Linked DNA regions of Mytilus edulis. The protein of the gene in region 2 interacts with the protein of the main gene of each other region in a biochemical or structural test. Links are inferred from orthologs where the notes say so. Each region holds a gene or a part of one and is shown on either strand. Other genes may lie near its edges.

What was found. The genes of interacting proteins can lie anywhere in the genome.
Region 1: the proteins of poly [ADP-ribose] polymerase 2-like (region 2) and histone PARylation factor 1-like form a complex in vitro, tested with the Homo sapiens proteins (2 studies listed by BioGRID). The link is inferred for Mytilus edulis from reciprocal best matches to the Homo sapiens genes PARP2 and HPF1.

The regions. Positions count from the first base shown.
Region 1 is NC_092351.1:3,002,563-3,006,323, forward strand, and holds the start of histone PARylation factor 1-like, read right to left. Parts: upstream 2,162-3,761; 5' UTR 2,117-2,161; coding exon 2,009-2,116; intron 1-2,008. Other genes in the region: chromosome-associated kinesin KIF4A-like, read left to right, coding at 2,453-2,455. UniProt on the Homo sapiens protein: Cofactor for serine ADP-ribosylation that confers serine specificity on PARP1 and PARP2 and plays a key role in DNA damage response.
Region 2 is NC_092348.1:64,697,670-64,701,430, reverse strand, and holds the start of poly [ADP-ribose] polymerase 2-like, read left to right. Parts: upstream 1-1,285; 5' UTR 1,286-1,394; coding exon 1,395-1,416; exon of another isoform or gene 1,417-1,438; intron 1,439-3,036; coding exon 3,037-3,218; intron 3,219-3,761. UniProt on the Homo sapiens protein: Poly-ADP-ribosyltransferase that mediates poly-ADP-ribosylation of proteins and plays a key role in DNA repair.

The sequences.
Region 1 (3,761 bases), on a different chromosome or scaffold from region 2:
AAATTGTAATTGATATATTATAATTTCTTTACATTTTTTAAAATATTTTTTTTTTTTTTAGTGCTAGATATTTAGTTGGTAGTTTCTCACAAGAACCTTAGTAAAACTTAAACAACTTTTAATTTCAAATGTTACTTTAATTGTATTTTTTTTACTCAGATATGAATTGAACAATATAAAAAGAACATTATTTACATATGGCCCTTTATACTATTGTAAAATCCAAACATTGTAGTGCACTGCGTGAATGAGCACTTCTCTTTCAAATCTCACCACTTCTCCCTATCAGTTTCAAAAAGAGAAGTCACTTCTCCCTATAATTCTGAAGTAGTGTGAGCCCTGTTAAAGATAAATTTTGCACAATTGTTAACTTAAACAAACCAACAAATTAGCAGAAGTTAGACTTATGGGGAAAGAGAAAAATATTTAGACCATTTTCAGCCAAATTCACTTGTCTATGAGTTTGCATTAAAAAATCAGGATTAATGTGCTACATAGTATACAAATTTAAGATTTCCAGAAAACCAGGGGTTATTTTTGGAGTAGTTCTTTTCCCAAAGGCAATTCTTTCTCAAATTTATTTTAAACATGGGTCATGTGGGTTGAAAATTGGCATGTAGAAAGGTGATACATGTACAATTCAGGATATACCTGGTTTCTATGAAGTTAAACTTAAGGTGAAATATTTAGATAGCTGTGAAAATTGCAAAATTTGGTTGAACAGATAGGGATTTGTAATTGGTGGACTCTGACACCTCTAGCCTAGACTGAGTACAGAGGCCCACTAATTACCAATTATATGGGGATAAAGTCCCCAATAACAGTAGAAAAATCAATAAAGAAAAAAAAAAATCGGGGGGGAAAAAAGTCAAAATGCAGAAAATCGATGGGTCTCTGTGAAAACTGTTAAAATATGGAAAAATAAAGGTTGGCAGGTAGGTGAAACTTACATAAATGAAGAGATAAATGAAAAATGAACAGATTGATGCCTGATTTATATAATTCCAAGGCCCTCAATCGGCACCAGAAGCGACGAAGCAGCGCATCTATTTTGGGTGGGCAAATATCCACTTTTTTGATAAGGGACAAGCTCTGACGTCCCACGGCCCAGCTTGTCTGGCAAAACAGCCGTTGGACGTCATCTCGGACTATAGTCGCCGTCACGTTAAATTGGCACCATGTTATTTGTTAAAAAAATTTTAAATATCAGCCGCGTTTACTCGATCAAGATGATGTTTTTCTTTTAGCGGAAGTAAAATCCTGTCCAAATATCCACTACTGTCCTACCTTTTATTGTGTTTGCACTGTATAATCCTGACCTTCACATTTTTCAAGATTATTTACATTCTATAACCGCCATCTTGGTTTCTATGAGGGTCCCTTATTACATTGTACATAACATTTGTTACTCTCCGGTAATATCATTGTCATTGATGATACAATTTCCCGTGCTTTTTACGTAAAGATGACGAAAAGCTATGAGAGACACAAGAAAATGGAGAGCACGTGGAACTCCACAGCAACACTTCCGGTAATAACAATGTCGGATTCCACCATACAAATTAATCTAGGATTATGTGAAGGTCAGGATTATGCAGTGCAAACACAATAAAAGGTAGGACAGTAGTTGATTTTTGGAATGATATTTGATTCCACTACTTGAAAAACATCATCTTTAGTAAACACGGTCGATATTTAAGAACATTTTGACAAAAACATGGTGCCAATTTTACATGACGGCGACTATAAGGTAATGCCTGCTTATATTATTTTAAACTCCGGTCTGGCAACTAGATATGTGTGTGGGAGGGTGAAAATCTCCAGTTTTCATTATATGTCCGAAGTGTATCTGCCCGAAACGACCATTGCCGAACCGGTCCCATGGCCGAAACGTCTTGATACCGATTTTTGCCAATTTTGGCGGGCACCTTAAATTAAAAGGAAAGCAGTTTTACAGCAATCGTAAAAGTAAATAAATATAAAATCAAGATTGTATAATTTTGTATACAGAATCGTTTTTTCTCTTCGGATGTCTGTAATTTTGTATATGTTGTTGGTTCTTTCTATAACAATTAGCTCCAAATTTACACAGCGGCTTTTCTTCTTTTGATGCCATTTTTGTGTCTTCATGCAAAAGAGTTCAACGCCGGGAGTCTTTATTAGAAATCATTATTAATTGAATTAGGAAATTATAGAATAGATACACCAAAATTTGAGTTCGAATTTACAATTTTATTTTATACTATTCGATACCTGATTGTCAATAAACAGATAAACATAATTCAATTGAAAATTTAATGAGTCAAGTAATTCTCCCGAAAAAAATTACCTGACGTCATCATTTCTTGTGTATTTACACAAATACCTTGGAGAGCAAACCTGGAGCTGGACTCCAGTGAAATTGTTTTATTTTCTTCCTTTTCATTGCAGTTTTAGTTGTTAAAGAATAGCAATGGTACACTTTCCTCTTTGTAAAACTTTATTTTAATACAATGTAAATTGTAAATAATAATTTTAAAATATCAGTTCTTGCTCTTATTTTGACTGGAATTAAAATATTTCAAATTCCAGTCAAAATAGGAGCAAGAACCAATATTTTAAAACTAATATGAGGCAGGCATTACCTGTAAATGAGGACGAAGTCTATGAATTATTTTTTATAATTTAAATATTTATTTAAAAAAAGAATTGGAAATACTGTAACGTTGCCGATTTTGGTTCTGTTGTTAGTCTTTAGTCTTTAGTATGCGTCATCTTGACACTGATTTTCTCATATGTACTTTGGTGACTTGCGCGTTTGGATACATTAATCACGTTTGTATTTTCTCTTTGTACTTTCACTTTAATTTAGGTAGGCGCTGTTGATACTGATTTATAAAAACAAATGATCAAATCTTCTAGTATCGTCTATAAACTTGGAAACTGCATATTGTATGTCTGCACTGGCTTCTGTGTTAAGTAATTCTTCTAGATCTAGATTAAGTGTTCCTGTTTTGAAATATATTGACTGGCGGAGTTTTTCTCTATCCAAACTGTAATTGTCACAAGATAATAAAAAATGTTCTACAGATTCTATTTCTCCGCAAGTACATTTGTTGTCTTCTACATGTCTGTTAATGAAATGTTGATACCCCTTTAGTTTGGAGTATCCTGATCTGAGACTGTTTAGTATATTGAAGTGTTTTTTTGATGGGAAGTCTAGTTTGATTCTTTTTGATGCATCTGGGTGATGATTAAAAAATCTTCTCCCAACCTCACTAGATTCCCATTGTGTCTTCCATTTTTGAATGACTGACGTTCTCGCCGCTTGTTTGATGTCTTGTTTTGTCGTGATTGAAGACATTTCCTCCCTATTATCTGCCTCTTTTGCCGCTGCTTTTGCTAGACGGTCAGCCTGTTCATTTCCCTCTATATCAGAGTGCCCAGGTGTCCAAATGATGTTGATACTAAAACCCTTTTGTTCCAATTTTATTTTCCTGTTTTTGATTTCTTGTATGGTTTTGTGATAGTTTTCTGATTTCCAATTTAAGGTTATAATGCCTATGGCGGATTGGCTGTCAGAGTATATGTTAAGTTGTTTAACATTGCGGTAAGGCCAACCTTAAAAATATGTTTGTTTGCAGTTTTCCGACTGTACCTTCAGACTGAAGGGTCGGTAGGTAGGAAAAATAATTTATTTTATCAGTCAAAATACAGTTTAAACAAGCAGTTACACTAAACCAAGTTTCTTGTGAAGAAAAAAAACCATTTTAAAACAACAA
Region 2 (3,761 bases):
TGATTTGATAAAATTCATTATTCTGAAAAAGTTAATATACGCATGTGCAAACAAATTTTATTGGATTTAGAGCATAGATTTGTTCACAAAGCGAAAGAAGCACGTCATATTAGAATTTAGTTCAACCTTTTAAGAAGCAATATTTAAAACCCAGCACTAAAAAAAATACCTATTCCTATCCAGCTGGGCTCAGGATTTTATCATACACCAGACCATGATACCTGTTTATGATCGTTTATAATGTGTCTTACATTCATACATGCCTTCAATGCTTTACATTCTTTTCTTTTTTTTATTTTTTGAAATTTAAAATTTTAAAATTATTTAATCAGACTGGAATTGGTCAAAACCCATAATTTGATATGTATATTATTTCAAAGCATTAGAAAAAAATATAAAAGGTGGCTTATATAAGTATTTATGATGATTTTTCCTCTTTTTTTTCCTCTTTTTTTTTGATAACTTTGAAACGCACTATAAGGATCTAGCAAGGTCGACAATTATTGAAGAATTCAGTATAAAAAGAAAATACGAACAGTATGACAGATGATTTTCTAGGAAATAGTTGTGTGTCGATCTTTGCAAATATTACCAATAAATTATACATGTTATATCTCTTACCAATTCTACTGATTATATAGTACTGAAAAACTGTATAGTTTTAATTTAATAAAAAGAGATCTTTTCTTACGCATATGAAATTCTGTCATTCATTCAATTATACCTTACAAATCCTTGATATACAAAGGGAGATAATTACTAGAGAACTGAATAAGAATGTTGCATTTGCAGTAAAATATACTTGTCTGTATCAATATAGAAACAGTATATATATAAATCCTTGATAAATCACTTTAAAAAAAAACTGTAAAAACTCTTGATAAAACTATTTAGAATGATTTTCTTTATGTTTTTTTTTCAGAAGCAAGTCAAAGACAGTGGCGGATCCAGAAATTTTCATAAGTGGGGGCCCACTGACTGACCTAAGAAGGGGCCCGCTCCAGTCACGCTTCAATAATTACCTATATAAGCAACCAATTTTTTTCCCAAAAAGGGGGGGCCCGAGCCCCCTGCCCCCCCCCCCCCCCCCCCCATATCCGCCTCTGAAAGACTCTTGAATTTAGTTTTAAGAGACCCATATGATGTTACATGCCTCTAGCTTTATGTTTGTATAGTTGTTTTTATTAAACATTGACAAACACAGTAGGGCGTAGTAATTGTTTCCAATCGGGCACGTGCCGAATAAAGATGTTTTCATTTAGGTCCGCGTTCATATCGTAGAAATTCGTTTCATAAAATTATCATTTCTATAAATAGTTCATCAAGCGTAATCTTTCAAAACAGAAAATCCTACCGTCATCAAAAAAGAAATTAGCAGTGTTATACAAATTAAAATGCCAAGAAGGAAGAAAACAGGTGAGAAAAAGACATTCAACAAGTAATTGTCAGCTATATCCAATGCATGTCACAGTGATTTGCTTTAAGGTTCATCAGTGATGGCAGTATTTACACCACAAAAAGTCGATTTTTGTTTATATCTTCTATAAATACAGACAAACTTATACATTTAGGAAAGTTTAAAGGAAGGGCAGGACCTACATCTAGCTTAATTTATACGTAGGTTATGTTAAAGAGTTGTCTGGAATTTGATGTGCATTTTTTTAGTCTGCATAAGTCTAGATTATGTAGCAAAATAAACAAACACATGTGTTTCATAAATTTGACATGGTTCTTCCAGTTACACAGCTAAAATCAGGTACAAAACAACTCATTCTTTCAGCAACTAATACTCAACCAAAATGGTACCCATGATTTATTTGATATTATTTACATACATAGTTGTTGTAACTTTCTTTCATATAATATCATTATATATCATATGTTTAGTACAAAATACAACAATTTTGTATATCTAATAAAGGTTCTTTTTTCCAGTCTGTATCACCTACCCTGTATCGCATACCCCGTATCACATGGCTAAACCCGTATCGCATACCCCGTATCACATACCTGGCATGACGTCACAATTCGAATGACATCAATGTTTGACCTATGACGTCCAGTTGCTGTTCCTACTAAAGAAAATGTCATATCATTTCAACTTAAATCGATATTTAAAAAAAAATCATTACCCAGTAACTTTACTAGGGATTTTCATAAAAAATAAATACAATAAGATGTAGAAATGGCTGTAAAAACTGTAAAAGAAAAAGGCAGCTGAAAAAATAGGAAAATCATAATGTTCTTTTCTTCCTTATATTTTCGGACGATTTAAAAAAAACGGATATTGCATGAATCTGATTCTGTAAAAATATATGATAAACCATGTAAACAGAATAATACATGGCAAAATCCGTATCGCATGCTGTATCACCACTCGACCAATATAAACCCTCGGGACTGATATTGGTTTCTCATGATGATACAGCATGCGATACAGATTTTGTCATGTATTATTCTATATATATAGCACGGGGAAATAACTGCAAGTCAGCTTATCCGCATGTATGGTTGTTGAACGGGTCCGTCATGTCCGTCGGCTGATTAAAAGACATGTCCAAGGCAATATTCTGTAAAATATCCTTTTCAAATAATCTATGGATCGTGCAAACTTGAGGATTTTTTTTTTAAATGTAAATCATATTAGTAGATCAACTACAAAATAATAAAAGATGAAGCATTATAATGTTTAAAAATATTGGGTACAATTTGGTAGAAGTATGAGTTAAAATAAAAAGAGCTGATTTTAATTAATTAATGAAAACTTGCTAATTATAAGTCAGAGCTCAGACATAAATAAGTTTGAATCTGCTTTTGACTCATAGAGGTTTAAATTTGTAAGTTTTAGGATTTGTCTCCCTTTAATGCAAGACAAAATACGACTTTAATAAGTCAAATATTGTTAAGCAAGAAATAATTGACCAGAATAAAAAAGTTGCAAATATCGACTCCTACGAGTCGATAAGTTATCGAAATTGGTTAACTTTAGCGTTCAATCTTGATTAATCATTTTTCATATTTTTCATTCCACTACAGATACAACTGAAGATGGCAGTGGAGATACAGTACCAACAAAGAAATCAAAACTTGCAATTGGATCACAAATTGATGGTGTAACAGTGAGATGGGAATGGGAAGGAGACAAATCTACCTGGACAAAATACTCTGATGATAAAAATGAAAGTATTACTGATGCTTTCAATTTAAAGAAACCATCTGTGAGTCGAAATAAAAAAATATATTATTGTACAAAGTAAATGTTCCTATCAATTTCAAACTATTTGTAGACCAAACAAAATATTACTTCTACAGACATGACAGAACAAACTAAATGTAACTATTATTGTATAAAGTAATATTAAAGTTCAAAGTTACTACAAGTATAACAAGTTCAGAGTAAGAACATATAAACTATTACATGTATTATAGTTAAGTACAATGTTTAAAGTAAATGTATTCCTTTTTTATCCTCTATTGATTACATTGTTCTATTTTTCTCTCAAGAATGTTACAAATCTAGTTTATCATTATTATTAGTTCAAACTAAATGAATTGGTTATTATACAACTTCGTATAATGTTCAGTACAGTTTAGTGAATATTGTTGTCAAAAGCATTAAGGTGTATCTAATTTCATCATATTTTCAGTTATATTTAAAAGAAAGGAGAAAGATACCAGAGGGACATTTAAACTCTCATAAGTCGAAAATATACTGACAATGCCATGGGAAAAAGAAGGGGAAAAAAAGACCAGCAGACAAA